Arabidopsis thaliana: one gene and its partner. The protein of the gene in region 1 interacts with the protein of each later gene in a pairwise test. Each region holds a gene or a part of one and is shown on either strand. Other genes may lie near its edges.

Region 1 (7,005 bases):
CTTGTCCAGAATTAGTAAGTTAAAATTGTGATACACGTCATAAGCTTTTCACAGACATACTTTATTTTAAATGTGAAAATAGACTTCAAAACAAAAAAATACACATGAACGTGTTCGAAATAGGGAATAAGCAAAAAGGGTGACAGACAACGAGCAAAGACAAGAGCGTTGAGACAAAATCACATCCTTGTTTTTTTGTTTTAGATCTAAAACAAATTAACATTCACTAATTGATAGTACATTTTTTGTTTTGTCAAAGCCTAATTGATAGTACACATTATTAAATAAAAGCTTAAACACGTAATTCAACGGTAAATGAAAAATCGTAAAAAGAACCAGATTAAAATTGGCTCATTGTAAAAAGAACCACTGAAAATGTAAGCAAGTTTCTTAATTTCTAGTTAGAAAACCAGAATCGATAAAGAAGCAATGGTTTATAAATTCCGGACTGATGATTATTCTCAAACTTTTCAAACGACACGGCCCACTGGCCCATTAAGAGCAATATGAAACGTAAGGTAAATATGAGCAAGAGCATTTGTTAAAAAAAAAAACGCAAGAGATTAAAATGTGGTCGAAAAACGAAACCGATAAAGCTAGAAGAAATATATAGAGTTAGACAAAATCCAGACAAAGAGCCTCAGCTCTAGCTCTAACTTTAACTCTAGCTAAATAAACTTGAAAATTACCAAAGTGATTAATAACTTAATCAGTCATTAGAGGGGTATCACAAAAGTTATTAAAAAGCAATAAACTACTCCATAAGTGTGTCTGGAATCTAGTAGCCGTTGCTAGGAACAGCTTCCATGTACTGCTTCTCCACGACCTCCATCAATGTGTCTGCAATTCCACTTGCATACACACAAGATCCTTCACAAATCTGCCTCAAACCAAATTGAAAAAGATTAGTTTATTGGTTTGGAGTTAATAACAGAACTATATTAGTGAGACATTTTCATTACCTTAGTGTTGAACAAGAAGCTGTAATGTTCACCAATCTGTCCACCTGCAACATGGTGAAGATCTAGCTGAAGCTGATCAAGAACTTTGGTGGTGAACAACAAACAGTTAATCTTCTTCTTCTGAACAAGCTTGATGGTTACTTCATCATCGATTATACGTACATCGACCTCAGTGACTTTCGATTTCCTCTTAAGCCATGAACATCTCAGTGAGTTGTTGTTGTTCTTGTTGAAGCAAGACTGGTCTACTTCGCTCTGTGGCTTGTAATTCACAGTGTCTTCTTCTTCTTCTTGATCTTCTCCTCCTCCTCCTTCACCAACTCTAGCTCTCTTCTTGCTCCTGAATCTCCCACATCTCTTCTTCTCCACAAGCATCTTAAACTCCTCTATTGTCCTTAAAAGCTCTTTGATGTAATCTATCGCCTCTCCAACTATCGATGCTCTATCAATCTACAGAGATTAAACCAACAATGTCTCTCATTTCATAGTCTCCTCATACACATTAACAACATGAATTGAAATCAAAGCAAAGTAAAGTATATACCTTTGTGGGATTTGGAATGAGGTTCTTTAAGTCGAAGAAACGATCATTGAAGTGAACTCGTCTCTCACGTTCTGTAGGGGAAGTTCTCGACTTTCTTGATCCTCTTCCTTTACGAGTAACTCCATTGTTAAACTCAAGAATCTCATTCTCAAATCCACCATTGTTGTTGTTTGCTCCTTCAAAGTACAAAACATTCATTCCTCCATTAGCATCCATCTGAATTTGATCTTCAACTCCAAGTAAACAAGAGCCGTTTCTTAGCTGGTTCTGATCTCTAGGCTGCATAGGGAAATTCAAATGGAAGAGAGGGTCGTACATAACAGCAGCAGCAGAAGAAGAAGACATAATGTCTGAGAAAGAGGTAGGTAGCATAGAGGAAGGATGATGATTAGGAGGCAATGAGCATCTAGGCAAGTGTAAGAGACTAAGCAAATCAGGAGTTGTTGCAGAGTTAGGTCCCAAATTCACAAAATCCTGATACCCATTATCCCAATTAGAGTGTTGTTGTTGATGTGAAGCCATTTGGTGAATCAAATTGTTGTGGAGTTGATCACAAGGAGGAGGTGGTGGAGGAGGAGGATTGATGTGAAACTGGAGAGGTGTTGAAGAAGCTTGAGGACAATCTTGTGGGCTGAGATGGAATTCAGAGAGCTCTTCTACCTCAACACTGCAGTTGCTGTTGCTTGTGCTTCCGGCAACCAGAACTTGCGGTGGTGGTGGTGGTGGTTCGGCTTGAGAGAAGCTACTCTCCACCGTAACTTCTGCTGGAGTGTTGGGATCGAAACAACCCATTTCCTCGTAAAGGCTTTCTCTTTCTTCTGCGTTTGTAACTCAAACACTAATTTAGATCTTCCAGAACGAAAAAGGTAGCAACTTTCATGAGAAATTAGACCAAATAATGAAATTTTGTTACCTTCCATGGAAATGGTTCAACGAGTACTCTAGATGATTCTTTAACACCTGCAAATCAAAAGTAACATTCAACAATCTTTAAGAAGAAGAAAAACCAAAAATTTGAAACTAATTTCAAAAAAAGTTAGCTCTTTTATAATTTTGGAAACGAAACCATAGAAATGTTTGTTAGGATCCAAAAGATTAAACATTGGGTTAAGGGTTTGAATTTGACAATAGATAGAAAGAGATGTAAGATAATGAGTAATCAGAGCTGGGAAAATTAGAACCTTTGTTACAATTAATTCTTCTCTACGTCTGTCTTCTCAATTTTCAGGAGAAGAAGTAAGTTTTTTAAACAAGAGTCTCTCTCTCCCTCTCTGTGTTTGAAATATACGGACATTTGTAGATGGAGACACACAATACAATAAGGGTAAAAAGATGGCAAAGTTAAATTATTGGATAACATGTATATTCTAGGTGTCTAATTTAAACGAAAATGTTGTATATAATCCATTAAGCTATGTTTCTAATCCAACTTTGATGCATGATTTATTAAGGTTTTGATTTGTTACATGGTTTGTGAAATTACTTCTTGTTTATAGTCATTTTTTAAATCATTTTCTATGCAACTTATTTTTTGATTAATCATTTCAAATGTTGAAACCTGATTACCAAATACCAATATGATCCTAAACATATCTTTTAACACTTAACCAGTTGTAAGAAAATTAGCATTGTATATATTTCTTTTACGTTATAAGCTCACTTTTAAGAAAATATAAATTGGGTTTTTTTTGGGGGCTGTTTTGGTTGGAGCATGTGATTTATCATTGTGGCCAAACATAAAGGTTGGTTAGAAGAATCAACAGATGGGTCCCTTGCCGAATCTCTCAGGTCTTTTCAACGACTTTAGGGGTATTTCCGTCATTATCAGCAAATACGATCTTCTCTCTGACCAATATGATATGGGCTCCACTAACTCACACCGACAAACCAAGTAGCCCCGTTTGCTCTTTCCCATTTCTACCCTTTTCCTTTCATTTTAGTAAAATTTGGATAAAAATATCCCAAATACAAAATTGTAATTGATAAAAGTATTTTAACGCGAAACTATTTTCTTGTCTTAGATGTATGTTTTACTTCTATAATTAATCTCATGTTTAATATGTGTTATGTTTATGCAATCGTATTTTATTATATACTCGAATTGAAAAAACTCTTCGACTTAATACAAGAACCAAAAATACTAATGCACGGTTTAAATGGATATGTTTTGTATATAAAAAGTGTTCAGTTTTAATTTATGGATGATTAACTACCTTATCATCAACAATCATGGAATTATTTATCACATCATCTAGTTTGATTCATCTATACGTTGTACATGGCATTGATAAAACTTATGTATGTATATCATAGTTAAATAGAAGTATAAATACTTAAACCCCTGGGTTTTCTAATTTTATAAGTAAACTGTGTTCAACAACTAAACCATCATAGAATAGTTTCTATCTCAAACACTTCCTGTAATGTATATCGACAACTCACTTAATTAATCTAATTTAACACTTCCTTTCTTTGTGTATAATCGATAACATAAAATGATAAAATAAAAATTCATCCATAAGAAAAATATTTAGATACTTGAAGAGATGTATAATAGAGAATCTGGTAAAAAAATAACATGGACTGTATTGAATATAAATAATTCATTTCATTCATATATGTTTATATTTCAATCTTTTCTATTAAATTTTTCTAAATAAATAACAATTTTGGATCAAACTAATTGTATAAGTTTCCTTGTTGAGCGGTTGGGTCATGCGATTTCTGTTTATAGCAAAGAGAGCGGGTTGTTTGAGAAGTAGTGGAAGTAGGTCCCACATCCAAGAATGGGATAATAATATACTTTATATTTGATTTAGTAAAAAAAAGAATTAGGGTTATTCTTGAAATTCGACAGAAACTGAAAAAATTCTGGTCACCTACCTCTCTCGTACACGGTACACTGCGACTGTCCCCATCCTAACTAAACAGTACAAACTCTGATTACTCAGAAAATGTTAAAATGTATTGCCGGACCAAACCAACGATTTGGTTTTTGATATATTAAAAATGTAGTGCCGCTTGATTCGGTCCATACATAGCCAATAGTTTCAGAAAAGGGGTTGGGTTGGATTCATTTAGGTAATGAATCGTATCATTTTTATTTTATTTGACGGTTGCACTACAGATATTTCATAGAAATTGATATTAGTTTAACAGGGCCTGCACTTCTCTAAAAATTATCGGTCTACAAACCCGACTTAACCGGTCTAAAACACACGTCACAATATCTCTAACAATAGACAAGTCTATTCAAAGTGGTCTATGATTAATTTGATCACTCTTATATATTATGCATGATGCTTCATCGTAGATGCTTGGGGTTGGGGATGAATTTCATCATTCATCACTGCTTCTTTTCTTTGAATCATTCCTTCTTTTCTTTCTCCGTAATCAAAGTGCATTCATCTTTCTTATATAACATTGTCTTGACATTTTCAGCTCTAAAGAAAGTTGGGTGTGTTGGCAAACTAGTCACTTTTTCAAACTTAATTGGAAAAGTAGTCACTTTACTATTCATAATTTGCAAAGTAGTCACTTTTCACTATTTGATTCGTACACTTGGATTGTACAACACTTTTAGTGTACAAATGTAAAGTGTACGTTGTGTATTTTTATATATATATGTACACTAAAAGTGGTGTACAAATCTAAGTGTACGAATCAAACAGTTAAAAGTGTTTTTGTTTTTGGAGAATGGATGCTCTATCTTGCTAGTCCCATAAATCGTGTTTTTATTGTCTACTTCAATGTTGTTGTGCCTTGCACCGCATTTTTTCTTCTCAACCAAATACTTAAGCTCGCTAACTAGTCTTTGTAACTCGTTGATGTAAACGATCCCATCTTGAACAATGGATGCTTCACCTCCCTAGTAATAGAGCATGTGTATTGATCAAGAGATATTGGAGAGAATGAATGAAAGATTAAACAGACGAAAAAGAATGAAAGATTAAACATAAAAATATATATCTAACCTTTGTGGGATTTGGAATGAGGTTCTTTAAGTCGAAGAAACGGTCATTGAAGAGAGCTCGTCTTTCGCGTTCTGTAAGGAAAGTTCTCGACTTCTTTGATCCTTTTCCTTCCTCTGCCTTGAACCTCTCGTTTTTTTTTGTGTAACGTTCCATGAAGATGGTTCAATACTCTAGAAGATTATCAATTTCAAGAGAAGAAACAAAGTTTCTTTAACAAGTCTCTCCCTCTCTGTATTTTGATTGAATATAAGGAGATTTGCAGATGGAATTAAAATTTTCTATTTTTTTTTCACTTAGGACACAAATTTATTATTTTATTTTTTTAGGACACAAAATGTTGACTTGACTTAATTAGCACTATGTTTCTAACCTATTTCACAGTAATGTCTTAAATAGATGTTGTTAAACATATTTTATGTCTATTTTTTAGCTTAATAAAGTTGTGCTTTTGCTGAAAAAATTATGAAATTATACCCTATATTATCTTTACAATTGAATAACTCTTCGACTGGATTACACAAACAACAAACAGATCGAAGATGAGGGATTTGGGTAGATAGTTTCCTACATATAAAGTTTTCATTATTTGTTAATAAATTGACAATTACTACTTCATCCCCAATAATCATTCATGATATCACTTCGTTTTAACCTCATTTATCTATGTGCATCACACTCGTAGAAGCGATGATTCAGAATGTCCAAATTTCGACGTTAACTGTTTTGAAGAAAATAAATTGAGAAACATATCTATTTGTCTCTCTCTTAATAATATCAACAAACGCTAGAAAAATATTATAAGTTTTATGTTGCGGTTAGATCATGCCATATATGTTTATAGCAGTATGAAAGAAGATGAAGAGGTAGGTCCCTCATCCAAAAATGTGAAAATATAATTTCATATTTAATTATTTTTTATTTTTTATTTTTTTTTGTAACGTGATGATTTATGGATACTCTCGTAACTTTATAGAAACTGAAAATTTTCTTGTCACCTACTTCTCTCGTACACAAGTACAGAAGTAGTTGCTATTGTTCCCAACCTACCTAGTCATACAAACTTTGGAACCATAACGATGGTTGTATCAATTTTAACAAAGAAATACCAAGTGTTTCTTGGTTTAATGGCTTCTTTCACTGGCCGAGGTAGGACGAATTTTTATTGGGTCAAATTTTTAATAAAAGAAAAACATGAAAATGTATTTAGTAAGCGAATGTGTTTAATCTTAATCTGTAAACCCAAATTTTATAAGGTTTCTAGAAAAAATGTGGGGTTTTAGGGTTTTTTTTGAAGTAAAACATAAGTCAAATTTATAGGGGTCAATATAAAATTTTCAGTGGGGTCAATCTTACAATTTCTTTTTTTTTTTAATTATTTATTTTTGTTGGGTCAGTTGACCCCATTCCCTTACAATTGCCTCTGCCACTGGTTTTTAATTTTTTAAAGAGAACATATACAAGAACATTGAAAAAGAGATATGCCTAGTTCGGATTGCAGTTAGAAAGAGGGACATTCCAAAGATAA
Region 2 (7,005 bases), on another chromosome or scaffold:
GTCAAGGGAGATTATTAGGGCTTTTTTTTTTGGCGAGCAAACAAGACTCTTCCACAAAATTTTTGGGGATCAATAGGTTGTCAGTTTGGAATCTACCACTTAGAAGAAGGAAGAAAATCCATTACAAGTTTTCCTATTTACTAAAACCTTTTTTCTTAACTTGACATCATCGTCTACTAAAATTCTTTTAATCCAATGAACTTATTAAAAATTGCATATTTCACTGTAGCCATCAATCACCATTGCTTCTTATATTCAGAAATTGAACTTAAAGAGTTCAATCCACTTTATAAAGCCTTAAATGAACCGAATTATGCCGAGCCTCTTTTTGAAGCCCAATGCATTTCACTATTTGCAACGAAAGAAATTCTAGAAAAAGAACTTACAGCAGACAGCAACTTTTAATGATTTTTTCTGTTCTTTTTTTATTTAGCAATGGATGGGCCAGAATCGATAATGAGCTAGACAAAAAATAAACGATAATGGCCCCAAAACCAAAGCCCATGGACGCCGAATCCTAAATCACTAAAGAAATAGAAACGACTAAAATAAGAGCGTTGAGCAGGAGACATGTCATGTGACTTCAAGGTTTTATCCCAAATATTGAAGTTTAGATGTTCCCTTTGACAAAAGAAATGCTATAACACTCTACACAATCAGATTTAATGTTGATGTGATATGATATGAATCATATGAATGTCTTATCAAATCACTTTATCTTCTTAAGTATGGGGTCCCATCTTATGTTTAGTTGGGACCTCAAAATTGTGAACAAACCATTTAACTATGTCCTGTTTTCTATTATACAGACGATAACGTCTCCAAGATTTTTGTCACACTAAGACCAATATATCATACTTTACTCACATGATCACTGATCACATCATTTTTTCTTTTTATATATGCGGTGTTAGTATGATGTAGATTCATAGGATATGATCACAATACTTAACTATTAGACCAAGTTCATCTAAGCCAGCCAACAAATAGCATTGAACCGTATACGTTCACACACTAGGAAACAATTATGTTTGACCGAGTGAGCAAGCTTATTAGTTTTCACTTCTAGAGTGGAGGATGGCTCTGGTCGTAAGAGGACAGTTACAAACTCACAAGTCACAATATTGTACTTTTTAATCAGAGTAAAACGTTTTGTGTGCACTCTAATCATCACTCAGTTAAAAGGTGGAACAAAAGTATATGGTTTTGATGGCCTTAGACAATCAACTACGTCAACCACATCTCTCATCTACACTACAATTTTTTTTTTGTGGTCTACTCTTTTTCCACATGGCATCTGTTTGTAAAAGGTTGTGAACATAATTTGACTAATATCACAATTTGCGGTCACTCTCTTACATGTTAAATCATATATTCGTTAAACAATCTTGTATACATTGATCTATTGATAGAACCAAAGCTACAAAATAAAGCAAGCTAGAGATCTCCTACCTTTTGGTGATGGTTTCAAGTAAGTTTCATGGTTTGAATGAGTTAGAGTACTCTGAATATGAATAGAAAAATCAGTTTACAGTACTCATTAGTGAATCCTACATAACTCTAACTCTATTGCAGTTATTTATATCCCTTGACTGCAGTTCTGTCTCCATGGGATTCTTTCCCAAAAAAGGAAAATAAATTAAATCAAAACAAATGGTTTTTTAAGTTCCAAGTTTCAAAGATATGAACTTTGTCCCCAAGCAATGTGTGCATTATTTGCTATACCAAACTTTTCCACGGCACATGAAACAGTAAGATTCCTCTGAGTATAGTACTATACTTTAATTTTTGTGCAAAAGTATAGTACATAATAGTATTTAATCAAACAAATTATGAATTATGAAGAGACCTCGGGAAAAAGTAGTTCAGATTTAATTATACATTAATTTACATATATATTCATCTTAAGAACTTTACCAATGTCAATGTCAATGATGTGTTCTAACTTCTAACCAATGATGGTTGTCAATTAGTGAAAAAAAAATGATTGTCAATTATATACATCATCGGCTTTACTACTTACCAAAATAAGAATAAAAAACAAAGATAATGTGTTGGATTGCAAAATCATCACATATTGGTAGCAACTTGGCACATATATACAAGTAAACGAGTTGGAGAAAATGATACAAAATCATATATAGCGCCAGATTTATTTCACAAAACTATTGTGCGAAATATATCATTACAATACAGAAATATTTTCACACATTGTTAAAAAAAATTGATGAAAAGAAACCTCACATGAAAAAGTCAAAGAAGTGACAAAAAAAAGAGTCGCTTGTTCATGTGAACTTCCTAGATCCCTATTAAATCCGAATTGTACCGAGTTTGCTACATATAAAAACTTACAATTATATTATATAATCGTATCCGTCGTCAATTCTCTCCAAGCAACAAACAACTTGGAAATGAATAATTACGACGAGGGTAAATATATGTTACATATATAAAAAAGAATTTAAAAAATGATTTAGAAAACTAATTAAAGTATGTATTATGGACCGTCGGATTAATTGAAACTCCAAAGCGGAATGTCAGCATCTTCGTAGAAGTATTCATCGAGCATCGTCGTCGAGTTTAGTTGAGGAGAGTAATTGAATGGAGCTCCATTATCAAACAAGAACATCCCATTATGATCATCATACCATGAAGATGTTGAATCCATCAAAGACACATGATTGTCCACAAAAGATCCCATCAAAGATTGCATCCCATCATCATGGTGATGATCATGATCGGACGGTGACGAGACGGCTGATGAAGTAGGGGCAAAATGGTTAAATGAGTTGGCAGCTTGAGCAGCTACTCTTTGGATGGATTTGGGGGACAAAAGGGTATTTTCATCTAAGAGATTATCAAGAAGATGATGAGAAGAAGAAGAAGTAGGGAAGTTGAGATTGGCTTGAGGGCCTTTGAGACATAAGAGTGCAACATCGTAAGCTCTAGCAGCTGCTTCAGCTGTTGAGTAAGAACCTAACCAAATCCTTGTCTTTTGATTTGGTGCCCTAATCTCAGAGACCCATGATCCCCAACTTCTCATCCTCACTCCTTTGTACTTCTTAATCTTACTCTTCTTGTTCTTGTTCTTACACGAAGACGAAGACGAGGAAGAAGATGAAGAAGAAGAAGAAGATGGTGATGATGACAAAGGCATTTCCTTTTTTGTGCTGCTGGTTTGGATCTTGCGTTCTTGTTTCACCATGGTAATGTTGTTGTGTACGTACAGGCTTTGTAGAGTGATTGGACAATGTGGTAGTGATCAAGTGGAGATATTGTTCTTGAGTTTTTGTTGTTGTTGTGGATGGATAGAGATTTTTTGATGAGGATTAGTGTGAGCTGAGAAGATTATATATAGAGATGGATTGATTTGGGAGGGGTATGGGAGAGGAAGAGATGAAATATTATTTATTGATATAAATCTAAAATAGGGTCAAATGAAATATAGTATGGTTTCTTGTGTATGAATGTGACATTGTGGTGCATGACAGGTGTTTTTCTTCTAATTTTTCCTTTATCCTAGCAATTGGCATTAATACATTTTTGTTCCATTCAAATTAAAAAAAGAAAAAAAAAGAAACTAGTGAACATAAATCTTTGGAGCTTAGTTATTTATTCGAATATGGATGCATGTTAAGGCTTTGCCCAATTGTTCGAAGTTCGAACAATGAACCTGAACATGGCCTCATCTTAACCTTTTGCTATTTTTGCATTTTCTTATAAAAAATAAATCATGTATAACTAATATTCTTGGTATTTAGAGGAAAAATACATAAACGTATAATGATTTTGATTGGCTTTTTTTATTGAGGAACCACAAAACAACAATTAATTATGCGATCACGTAAATTTTTATCAATTGCATGTTCTTGTTACAAAGAAAAATGTATATTTTTTTATTCTACAATTTAAATGACAAAAAACATTAATTTCACAAGGGTCCATTTTACAATTAGATTTATTCTCTCCAAGTTTATTAACGTGTTAGATTCTTTCTAGAATTTGTCCAAAATATAAACCGAGTGAACTAAACTATCAAACTAAAATAAATTACCGATTGGAGTCAATTTTGCTAGGAATTAATTAACCAGGAGAGTATATATATTATACACACGGACGCCAGTTGATGAGCAAATCGAGGAGTGATGCTAAAATATCCTATAGTATTTTTTTAGGTTGTGAGATATCAATTTTCTTTTATATATTGACTATATACGTACCTATCATCACTATCAGGAGATTACGAATTACAGCTGCGTTTTAACGCGTTAACTCGTAATACGAACTTTCCAAGAAAGTGGCCCCATTTATGGTTTAATTATTGGTTGTCTATGTTTATTCTTTACCGATTAAACTAGTGTGTATATTTGTAGTTATACACCAAATATATATATACTGTATCATGTTTATATATTTTTATGAAAAAGTGACTGTAAAACCTGCAAACATACGTGCACGAAAATGTTATTACTTGTAATATTTTTTATTACTAGAATATTGATCCATCTAATCTTTTTATTAGATTTGTTACGTGTATCATCAAAGTCTAAAGAAAAATCTGGTTTTAAACCTAGCTATATGACAACTTGCTATTGAATTTAACATTTTAACATCGTGGCTCATCGCTTTGTGAATTGTGAGTAACTTACGCGTTAACAAAATGGAGATGTCGTACAAAACAGTAATTAGTATAAATACGTTTGATAGTATTATAATCATTTGGTAATCTTTAATTATACACCATAACGTAACATGTTACATAATACATACAAATGCTATTCAAGAAGAACGATATCGCCTTTTAGCATCTTGTTTTCTTACATCATTAAACAACATGAATTTTGTTAGTAATATGGAATACTTACGAAGAAAATGTCAATAGGAAATAGTAAATGAAAATAGCGAAGAGTGAAGTCAGAAGAGTGTGGGAGAAGGTGATGATGCTAAATTGATGAGTGACTTCAAATTACAGCTGTTCTCACTCTGTCTCTTTTGCTACCCAAATCCAAACCGCGTTTTCTCTCGTCAGACTCACTCGTGTATTTATCTTCCTAAATTTTGTAATCTTTAAAAAAAATTAAAAAAAAATTCATACTATATCGAAAATATGATCCAAATTTATAATTACATCGTTTTCTCCACATACAACTTGTGTTATTAAAATTATATATATACATATATACACAATTTGTCTTTGAGTCATTCTATTTTAGAATATAGAAAATCAAATAAAGCTCAATTTAACTCGTTTTGTCGAGTTAGGATTTCGAATTCTAATAAATTTTGTCTTACGTAACTTTAATATATACCAACATAATTTATACGAACATATGCTAAAGATTGATATAAAGTATAAACAATTGAAAAAGGGGGAAAATATAAAAATAAATAAATAAAGCATATAAAACTTTAGGACACGCAACGAGCACATGATCGTATGTAAGAAAAGATGGGAGATGACATGTTCTTTGTGGACAGCCTTGACTTTCTCACAAAGCTTAAGATTAATCATGGGATATGGTACTTTAATTTGTTGTCTTCGTCTTTAGATTTCACACTTTGGTCTTAAGCAAAACTCTCCAAGATGTCAGTTCGATAAAGAGAGCGAGAAAGAATATGGGCGGATTTTGTCAGCTTTCCAGCCAAAACATGCGTTTGCATGACGAGAAGAAGCATCTCGATCGTGGCTTCTTTCAATTTTAACTTTTGAGTTTTAACACGTAGCTTATTTCATATTTGACACTTACTCGAATGTAATCTCCTCTTTTGAATTTTGAAAATGATACACTAAACTAGAAATGCATCAATTTTATAGGCTTTTATGACTAATTGATGTCGAGTGGATTGACCATGTTCATTATATTTTACGATAGGTTTTAGGATTGTCAAGATGTTTCACTTACACATGAATAGACATATTCAGACATGCAAGCCTAAAGTAAAGGCTAAGGCAAGTAAACAAACATTGCAGTACAAACATATTTGCTTTAACAAACAAACAAACAAACAAAAATTAAAACAAAATGGATCTTTCTTGATAAATGGAAAATCCAATAAACTGTATGTATTAATTGGTGGTACCGTACTCTCTCCGTACCAGTTCCCAACAAATGACTCAACAATATCACCACGATACAATCTCAACCTCAATAGTTTCAACATTTATTATTGGTGTACTATTTATCGTAACAAATTTGGAGGATTACAATACTACAGCGCATGGCAAGGAAATTTCGAGGAAGATGAAATAGTATACGTTGAATGTTTTTTGTTTTTCATATTTTTTTTCATTAAAGATGTACGTTGAAGGTTCAACCATGTATAATGGATCCAGTGAACTAGGTTCAACCACCAAATCCTTTTCTTTTGTATATCTCACAGATCTATGATTTAGTCGGTTTTGAAAATGTTAAAAATGATGTGGGGACATAAAATATGATAGACCCCATACATATTTGTTTTGGTTTATAAATTCATATATAATTTATTTTCCGTTTACATAATTCACAATATTTTTATGAATTAGATTTATATATGACTATGAGACGAAAAATGACTAAGCTATAAACCCCGATCACATATTTGTTCACTCTAGCAGAAATATATATATACATCTTCTCTTTGCATGTTCTCGAAGTATTTAACAAAATTCTCTGTAAATAGTTAGTTATACAAACAGGAGGGAGCAGAAGAAACAAGTAAAGATCTATCAAAAGGAAAACAAAAAAGAAAAGAAGTAAAGGTAACAATTCCTTATGGGAAGATGACAAATAACAAGCCCAAAGATTATATATCATCAGCCATATAAATACTCGTTGGCCCATTTGAAAGTCATTTTGTAATGGGGGCCCATTTATTTCAATACGAAATATTTTAATTCCTTCTTTTGTTTTATGTTTGCATTTACAAAAATCAGCAAATATTAATTCATCTATTAATATGCCACAAAAATGTTATATAAAGTTGTAGACTAACTTAGTATAACACAAAAATGTGTTTTATGAA

The links. Proteins that work in one complex are often made in the same cells at the same time.
Region 2: the proteins of AT2G31220 (region 1) and DREB26 interact in a two-hybrid assay, tested with the Arabidopsis thaliana proteins (one large-scale study listed by BioGRID).

The regions. Positions count from the first base shown.
Region 1 is NC_003071.7:13,298,435-13,305,439, reverse strand, and holds AT2G31220 (basic helix-loop-helix (bHLH) DNA-binding superfamily protein), read right to left. Parts: upstream 2,775-7,005; 5' UTR 2,688-2,774; intron 2,467-2,687; 5' UTR 2,427-2,466; coding exon 2,420-2,426; intron 2,368-2,419; exon of another isoform or gene 2,325-2,367; coding exon 1,507-2,324; intron 1,413-1,506; coding exon 963-1,412; intron 881-962; coding exon 779-880; 3' UTR 571-778; downstream 1-570. Other genes in the region: AT2G31215 (basic helix-loop-helix (bHLH) DNA-binding superfamily protein), read right to left, coding at 5,138-5,374, 5,481-5,633.
Region 2 is NC_003070.9:7,692,855-7,699,859, reverse strand, and holds DREB26 (Integrase-type DNA-binding superfamily protein), read right to left. Parts: upstream 3,434-7,005; 5' UTR 3,206-3,433; coding exon 2,513-3,205; 3' UTR 2,029-2,512; downstream 1-2,028. UniProt on the Arabidopsis thaliana protein: Transcriptional activator involved in the regulation of plant development and tolerance to abiotic stresses. Involved in salt and osmotic stress response pathways. May be regulated by the stress-related genes RD29A, RD22, DREB1A or P5CS during stress response.